Sus scrofa: one gene and its partner. Each later gene encodes a partner of the first gene's protein in a complex. Links are inferred from orthologs where the notes say so. Each region holds a gene or a part of one and is shown on either strand. Other genes may lie near its edges.

Region 1 (4,452 bases):
TGCCATAAAGCCGTATGAGGAGGGCAAATGCTCACACACAGTCCCATGCCATGTACTTGAAAGGGAATAACCAAGAAGAAACTGAAGCAACAAACCAGTACAGTTCTAATGTCACCTCTCACCCCAAACCCAGCAAATGGGCCAAGTCTGGGCTCTTGATGCACACAGACAACTGGGGATCTTAGAAAAGCTACTTATTCTCAATCATGAATACAGTCTCTTTTGTTCACTATTCATCATAAGCGCCTAGAATATCCGGACTGGCACAGAGAACGACAAACACTTGTCCTATGAATGAATGAAAAAGACTGCTGCGAAGATTAAATGCAGTAATGTAAGTGCTTAGGGAAGTGCCTGGCTTATAGTAAATTTTGTTATTATTCCACTGGTGACTCCAAGGGGCCCAGCCACCAAGAAGAAAGCTACAACTTCCCAAAGGGCAAGGCATTCCCTAGCCTAGAACTGCAGCTTTCAAAAATGTTTGACTGTGACTCACGACTTAAAAACACTTAAAATAGGGGTTTCCTGGTGGTTCAGTGATGTCTCTGCTGTGGCTCTGGTTACTGCTATGGCTTGAGTTTGATCCCTGGCCCAGGAACTTTTTCATGCCGTGGGTGCGGTCAAAAAAAAAAAAAAAAAAAAAAAGATTTAAAATAACAGTCCATACCCACATACAAATATGTAATCAATTGAAATAAAAGGTCACTATATTAGAATGTACCATGACAAAACTTAATTGACTGTCTATCTCTTTTAATCAACCAAAGAACTTAAGTCTGGTTTATTGTAGACCCAGCACCCTGTGCTTGGCATCCCATAGGTTTCTTTCTTTTTTTTTTTTTTTTTCTATTTCTTGGGCCACTTCCGCGGCATATGGAGATTCCCAGGCTAGGGGTCTAATCGGAGCCGTAGCCACCAGCCTACGCCAGAGCCACAGCAACGCCGGATCCGAGCCGTCTGCAACCTATACCACAGCTCACGGCAACGCCGGATCATTAACCCACTGAGCAAGGGCAGGGACTGAACCCGCAACCCCATGGTTCCTAGTCGGATTCATTAACCACTGCGCCACGACGGGAACTCCCCATAGGTTTCTTTTCTTTACTTTTTTTTTTTTTTTTTCTCTCTCTTTACAGCCGCACCTGTGGCATGTGGAAGTTCCTGGGCCGGAGGTCAAATCAAAGCTGCAGCTGAGGCCTATGCCAAAGCCATGGCAACACCAGCTGCATCTGTGACCGACACTGCATCTTACAGCAATGCTGGATCCTTAACCCCCCGAGTGAGGCCAGGGATTGAACTCACATCCTCACAGAGACAACACTGGGTCCTTAATCCACTGAGTCACAACAGGAACTCTCCTATAGGCTGTTAATAAAATTTTTTTTAAACAAATGAATACCAAGAAGGCACTCATCTTTGACAGTCTCCTATTAGTTAACAGCACAGACTCTATACACTAGAACCTTCTTTTGTCCTGGTCAAGGAAAGGCCATAAGTTCCCTGTCTCTCCTCTATCCTCAATTACCTATAACTCGAAGCCAGAGAGTCTAACACTAGGCATAACGAGAGCTTAGAGGGGTACCACTCCTGGCACAGACACACCAATGTACAGCAGAACAAAGTAGTGGTTAAGAGCTCCGGCCTTGGTGTCAGATACACTTGGATGAGAATCCCAGCTTTACCATTTACTAATTGCAGGACCACAGGCAATCTGCTTGGGCCTCAGCTGCCTCACCGGAAAAATGAGATTAAGTGAGGTTAAGTCATAGAGGTGCAGAAAAGATTTTACGGATAATGGACGTAAAACCCTCAGCTCTGGCACCCACTAAGTTTATAGTACAGCTCTTTGCTGCTTTTTACCAAAGAAAAACTTACAGAGGAGGGCTAATAAGCTTTCTCCACTGTTTTTCTGTTCTGCTTTGGTAACTTTTACGAAGTCCACCATTGCCACCCCTAGCCTGACAAAAGAAATGTCAGAAAGTGGCTTTTTGACAGAGGTCCCATTGCAACAGATGAAAAGCACGTAAGGTTGACACATCCCCAAATACAAAGCTCTCAAGTAAGGAGAAAAACATCCTTCTAACTGATCCTAGTTTTCTAAACACCTAGCTTTAAAATCTTTCCACCAAGAACAGAGCCACTAAACCTCTTACAGCCTCTCCTCTAGCTTGTCCAGGACAATGTCACCAGCCGCCAGCTGCTTGCGTCTCAGCCGCTCCTGTAAGTCTGGGAAGGCCCGAAGTGCCGGCACATCTTCAAATCGCAGATTTTGTGCGGCCTGCAGCTGCTCTGCCAGGTTACTGAGGGAGGCCAGGAGCGGCGGGCAGTCCTTAAGAACGCTCTGCCACAGGCCTTGCTGCTCCTCCACCACGAGAAAGCACTTCCTTAGGGCCTCCTGCACGGCAAGCAAAGGCCCAACTTGAGTCATCTTCTGTGGGAGGAAAAAAAAAAAAAAGACACAGCCCTAGAGTCCCAAGTCGGTAGGGGAAGTACCAAGTCGGTAGGAGTTATTTCCGTTCTCAAGTGAGGTCCAGCTAACCCAGGGTTTCCTCAGGTAGCTGTCTATCCCTCCCGACGGGAGTTTCTAGAGTGAGGGGTTGTCTTACCTTTACACAGGCTCTCGGAAGGCAGGACCCTTATTTCCCACCTCGGGAAAGATTTCTTGACTATTCCTCGCAGGAGGCTCATCCGGCTTCGGGTAGTTTTCTGTTTCAGACTGTGGGTTTCCCGGGCCGTCTCGAGTTTCCTGAACCCGAACCTTGTCTCCTCTCCATGAAGTTACGGCTCGCCTTCCCTAAACCAGCGGCAAAAGTTAAAGCTAAGGCAGTTAAAGTCTGAGGACCTCTCTAGGCCCTCAAGAGCCTTAGGGACTCTCTTTGCGCATGCCCCAACGTGGCTACAGAGTCGCGAAAATATGCCGTCAAACTGCAATGACTTCTGGGTGCTGTAGTCCTGCGTGTGAATTGACTGGCCGATCGCAGAGCGTCCCTGCGATTGGCTGTTGTGGGACCCTCTAAGACGGCGGCTTCTCATTGGTCAGCTTGTGGCAGTTTGAATTTGGTGGCGGCGGTCGCACGTCCGGTTAGTCCCGGAGCCGCTCCCTCTCAGCTGAAGCAGCCAGGGTTTTCTCAGCCCCTATTACCGGGGCCCACAGGTGAGTGCCTCGCGAATCGTTTATGCTCATGCCGGGAAGGGCAGGGGTCCCCTTCCAACCCCCCTGGGGTGTCCTCCGCCCTCTCCTGCTCCTTCGCGGCCCCCTTTCCCTCCCTTTCTCCGCCGCTGACACCCTTTGGCTTGGCCCCTCTCTCCCCGCAGTCTCCAGCGAAGTGCCATGGCTCCGGCTAGGAAAGGCGGCAGTCGGGTGGCCAAGAACAACTCGCTACGGAGCCGAAAGCTCGCTTCCTTTCTTAAAGACTTCGACCGTGAAGGTAAGGGGCGGAGCCCGGGAGGTCGCTGGCATCTGGGACAATCGCGGGGTGCTGGCGGGTTGGGGCGCAGGCCGCACGGATTCCAGGCCCCGTTTGCCCACTGGTGACCCACGTCTTGTCCGCTCTGCCCTCTTGCAGTGCAAATACGATCCAAGCAAATTCAGTCAGACAGGCAGAACCTCCTCAAGGAGATGGATAACCTGTACAACATCGAGATCCTGCGACTCCCCAAGGCACTGCGCGAGATGAACTGGCTCGAGTACTTCGGTAAGAGCTGCTAGAGTTTCCCCAGGCCTCGACCTGGAGCCCTTCTGTGGTTCCAATGACAGCCTTCATCTTCATCCTGAAGTCGTCCAAGATCCCTGTAGGAAACTGCAACCTTACCCATCCCCACTCTGTCTCACTGCCTTGCTTTATTTTTCTCCTTTGCTTTTAACCTCATCTACTTGTGCAGGTAGGCAAACAAACATTTTCTCTACAGAATCGGGTAGTAAATATTTTAGGCTTTATGGGCCAAATGGTTCTCATTGAAAACTACTCATCTCTGCTGTGATAGTTCCGAAACAGCTGTAATGAATGGGCACAGCTGTATTCCAATAAACATGTATTTATGGACATACTAAAATGTGGATTCACATTATAAGATTTTTTTTTTTTGATCCAACCATTTAAAAACAAACAAATGAATAACTTGGTCTGTTACCAGAGCTCAGGTGGAAGGATAACCCCAAGCAGGTCCTTCTGCTTATGGAAATTGCCAGTTTTAAAATGGGCAGATCAGGGAGTTCCCACTGTGGCTCAGTGGTAACGAATCTGACTAGTATCCATGAGGATGCAGTTTGGATCCCTGGCCCCACTCAGTGGGTTAAGGATTGGTGTTGCCATGAGCTGTGGTGTAGGTTGAAGACAGGACTCAGATCCTGCATGGCTATGGCTGTGGCGTAGGCCAGCAGCTGCAGCTCCAAATCGATTTCTAGCCTGGGAACTTCCATATGCCATGGGTGCAGCCCTAAAAGAGGCAACA
Region 2 (4,263 bases), on another chromosome or scaffold:
GGCCATCAAAGTACACTGTAGATGGATGAGAAAAAGTACAAAAAAATGCTGCAGCTTAGGAGACCAGGAGTCACGAGTGACCACAAGGGCTGCAGTGATTTTATTCCCAGATTCGGCCCATGCTGGGATGTGGGCTTGGGAATTTCCAGAGCTCCTTTCCTTAAAGTTTCCAAGACCTTGGCTACAAGGTGGAAGTCAATTCCCAGTGCAACTCATCACGCCAGCAGACAGGTGTGTGCCCAGGTTAGCAGCCCACACTCTCTCTGCCAAACAAATGTTAACAGAAGCAAGAGAACAGAATGAAATTCCTGAGTCGCGACGAAAAAGTGAGGAAGAACGGGGAGCAGGGAGGAGAAATGCAAGTACAGTACGTGGGCGGCGTTCACTGAAATGTACCGCGCGTGCCAGGCGCCGTGCCGAGCAACTCCCAAGCACCGACCCATTTCATCCTCCCACCAAGCCAGAGCGAGAAACTATTACCAGCCCCATTTCGCTGATGATGCAAGAGAAGTTTAGGGAGACATCACTTACCCCGAGCGCACAGCTAGGACGGGGCAGCGCTGTGACCCGGGTCTGACTCCAGGGTACCCCACTCTTTAACCTGCACTAACTATTCTGCCTGAGGCCTTAAAGCAGGACTGAGAGAGGAGTCGTCCGTTCACCCACTTGACCAACAGCTCCTGAGCACCTCTGTGCTATGGGTATGTGCCAAGGCCTGGCCGGACGCGGGAGGGGTGCGGATGAAGGGACGCGGGCTGAGGGTCGGGGGACAGGCGCCACGTCAGTCCCAAGACCGCGGAGCTCGGGGCCTCGGGGCAGAAGGGAGACCAGGGTGCGGCAGAGGGAAGGGACGGCGGAGAGGGAGGAGCGAGTGCAGCCGGGGCGCGCGGGGCGGAGGGCTGGCGGGAGGTGTCGGCGGGCCGGGGCGCCCCGGAGGGATGGGCGACCACCGCTCCCCTGGGCAGACCTCCGCTTCTGCCAGGCAGCCAGCCCGGCGCTTCGTGTGCCAGGGCATTCGGCCACCGGGCGCGGGCGAGACGGGGACCGGGAAAGGGGGCAGTGCGACCCTGAGGTGCTACAGGGGCGACCGGGAGGCCGAGGGGGGGGCGCGGGGCTGGGCGGCGGGGTCAGGCGGCGTCGCGGGACTCACCTCCCGCGGCGGCCCCTCCGGACTCGTCGGCCCAGCCGGGCCGGAGGAGGCGGGGATGGACTCCGGGCCGCGGGGACTGCCGGGAGCCCGTTTCCAGGGCAACGGGGCCCGCACCGTCGAGCGGCAGGCGGCTCCGCCGCTGGCTAGAGCGGCAGAGGAGCAGGAGGTGGCAGACGGGGTGGAAGTGGCGTCGGGAACTTCCGGCGGACGTGGGCGGGGCTCGGAGGTCTCTTTCCTGGGATCCCTGCGGATGGCATGGAAGGTGCGTGAGAAGGGCCAGTTTCCCCAGGCGGGCAGGGCGTGAGTGTTTTGGTTGGAGCTTAGTCGGTACTCCGACGGAATTCACAGTCTAGTGAGGAAGATGCTAGACATTAAACAAAAAGATACGCTGCACTGATGAGTGTTGTGATGCCAAGTTAAGTACAGGGTATTCCAGGTATTTCGTGCAAGGAGTCCTAACCCAACCTGGGAATCCAGAAAGACTTCTGGTGGAAGTGACTTTCTAAAAACCGACATTAGATCACGTCATTTCCCTGCTCAAGGCTTGCTGCTGGCTTTCCATGACTTGGAATAAACCCAGACTTCTTTTCTTGGCCTGTAAGGGTCTAGCTGCCTGGCTGCCTGCTCACCTACTATTTCCCCTCTCTCCCTCTCATTCTAACCGCCCTGGTCCTTTTCTTTTTTTACACACACTAAGCTCATTCTCACATTACGCCCAAGCTGTTGACTTCTCATCATTCAGATTGCAGCCTAAATGACAGTCTCTCGGGGGTTCACCCTAACACAGGACCCTGTTTTATTCTGTGGGGTTTATGGTCTAAACTGATGCTGACCATCTAGTTGTTATCCATCTCCTCTCTGGAAAGTAAGTTCTGTGAAAATGGCCCTGGTCTACCAAGTTCAGTCGCTTCATTCCCCATGCCTGGCATGATGTAGGCACTCAGCAAAAGCTGGGTTAGTTGTATAAATAAGGAGTGAATGAGTAACTGTAGATACTGGATATAGAGCTTCCAGGCTGTCTCCAAGTGCTGATCTCCCTGAATCCCCACCTGTTCACCAAGCTGGCAGCTCCCAGAACTCTTTGCTCTTGGGTTTTGATGGAGGCTTCATTCCATAAAGAGGGTCGATTAAATTATTTACCACTTACGACTGATCCAACCTCCAGTCTCTCTTCCCTTATTGGAAATGGGGGTCGGGGGTGGGGGGACTGAAAATTCCAACCCTCTTAATATCAATATGATGTTTAAAAGGGGAACCTAGATAAGGATGGGGGCTGGTTGTCAGGGGAACCAATCATGTGATTAGAGAGCGCTGTACCCCTTCCTGCATATCTTGCCCTAAGCACTTCTCTGTCTGGCCCTAGTAATCTAATAGGTAAAATATTTTCCTGAGTTCTCTGTGAGCCACTCTAGCAAATTAATCAAACCTTGTGGAGGGGCTATCTTTGGAACCTCCGATCTATCAGAGATTTCTAGTAGGTCAGAAGCACAGACCTAGATCTGGCCGCTGACATGGAGAGAGAGGGTAAGAGTCTGGTAGGACTGAGCAATTAGCTTGTGGGATGCCATCTCCAGGTAGCTGGTGTCAGAATTGAGTTTATTGCTTGGTGGTGGTGGAAAAACCACACTGGAGAGGCCCTTGTGATAACACATGCTGTGTTGGGTACTTGCTGCACGTCAGACCCTCACAGCTTAAATATATTATTTAATCATTGCAACAGCTCTATGTAGTAGATCTGTTTTACCCCCACTTTACAGATGGGTACTTTGAGGCTCTGAGGGGTTAACTAACTTACCCAAAATTGCACAGCTGGCTGTGACAGAGCAAGTATTTAAACCCAGTCTGTATGGTCTTCAGAGTCTAGACTCCAAACTATATAAACTGTATCGCCATTGTGTGTCCTGGATTCCGTAAGTGGCCTCTCTCAGAATCTGGACCTTATCCTGTGGGCCATGAAATACTTTTGAAGGATTCCAAGTGGAGAGGATTCGAGGCAAAGGAGGGCCCGGGTGTGGGAGGTGCCCAAACAGCCTGAGTTGGCTTATTGTGGTCTGGGGGTTGCTTCCCGCAGGAGCTGGGACCTGGGTGAGTCCTGGGGTTTGGGCAGCCTTAGCCAGAGGAAGGAAGAAGCTTTCTAGCAGAGAGAACTACATGTGCAAGAGCCAGTGGGTGGGTGATTCAACTTCAGAGTTGCCAGTAGGAGTTCCCATCGTGGCGCAGTGGAAACAAATCCAACTAGGAACCATGAGGTTGCGGGTTCAATCCCTGGCCTCGATCATTGGGTTAAGGATCTGGCCTTGCCATAAGCTGTGGTGTAGGTTGCAGGTTCAATCCCTGGCCTCGATCATTGGGTTAAGGATCTGGCCTTGCCATAAGCTGTGGTATAGGTTGCAGACTCGGCTTGGTTCTGATGTTGCTGTGGCTGTAATGTAGGCTAGCAGCTGTAGCTCCAGTTGGACCCCCTAGCCTGGAAACCTCCATGTGCTACAGGTGCAGCCCTAAAAAGCAAAAAAAAAAAAAAAAAAGAGTTGCCAGTAGTTGCTCTTAGCTAGAGATTGCGGGGGTTCAGGGTGGGGGTTAAGATGGGCGCTGAAGCCGAGAGGGAGCCAGGTCCTGAGTTTTTGTTTTTTTTTTTTTTTTGTCTTTTTGCTATTTCTTTGGGCCGCTCCCGTGGCGTATGGAGGTTCCGAGGCTAGGGGTCGAATTGGAGCTGTAGCCACCAGCCTACGCCAGAGCCACAGCAACTCAGGATCCGAGCCGCGTCTGCAATCTACACCACAGCTCACAGCAACGCCCTATCGTTAACCCACTGAGCAAGGGCAGGGACCGAACCCGCAACCTCATGGTTCCTAGTCGGATTCGTGAACCACTGCGCCACGACGGGAACTCCAGGTCCTGAGTTCTAAGCACGGAGATCATCACTGCATCTCAGGTCCGGCCCGGTCAGTATGTTGGAATGTCGAGCGCTGATAGCCACAGAGCTCCGAGCAAGCCTAAGGTATCAAAATGCCTGAGACTGGAGAATGCAAGCAAGCAGGGCAGGGGTATCAGAGAGTTTTAGCAAAAGTCACTGCTCTGCCTCCTTTCCCAATTTGCAAGTGGTCAGAGCACTC

Evidence for each region.
Region 2: the proteins of C6H1orf109 (region 1) and CINP are in contact, whole or in part, in a cryo-EM structure (PDB 8RHN), measured with the Homo sapiens proteins. The link is inferred for Sus scrofa from reciprocal best matches to the Homo sapiens genes AIRIM and CINP. Residues at the interface, in NP_001289959.1 of Homo sapiens: Leu107, Gln110, Ala113, Ala114, Asn116, Leu117, Phe119, Val122, Ala124, Leu125, Phe128, Pro129, Asp130, Leu131, Arg134, Leu135, Lys138, Gln139, Ala142; in NP_116019.1 of Homo sapiens: Leu161, Leu162, Thr165, Glu169, Asp177, Leu178, Leu180, Ser181, Tyr182, Ser184, Met185, His188, Pro190, Tyr191, Val192, Glu193, Ser194.

Annotation. Positions count from the first base shown.
Region 1 is NC_010448.4:93,747,691-93,752,142, forward strand, and holds the start of C6H1orf109 (uncharacterized protein C1orf109 homolog), read right to left. Parts: upstream 2,907-4,452; 5' UTR 2,607-2,906; intron 2,432-2,606; 5' UTR 2,429-2,431; coding exon 2,154-2,428; intron 1-2,153. Other genes in the region: CDCA8 (borealin), read left to right, coding at 3,332-3,428, 3,567-3,695. UniProt on the Homo sapiens protein: Part of the 55LCC heterohexameric ATPase complex which is chromatin-associated and promotes replisome proteostasis to maintain replication fork progression and genome stability.
Region 2 is NW_018084979.1:1,150,259-1,154,521, reverse strand, and holds the start of CINP (cyclin-dependent kinase 2-interacting protein), read left to right. Parts: upstream 1-1,324; 5' UTR 1,325-1,405; coding exon 1,406-1,412; intron 1,413-4,263. UniProt on the Homo sapiens protein: Component of the DNA replication complex, which interacts with two kinases, CDK2 and CDC7, thereby providing a functional and physical link between CDK2 and CDC7 during firing of the origins of replication.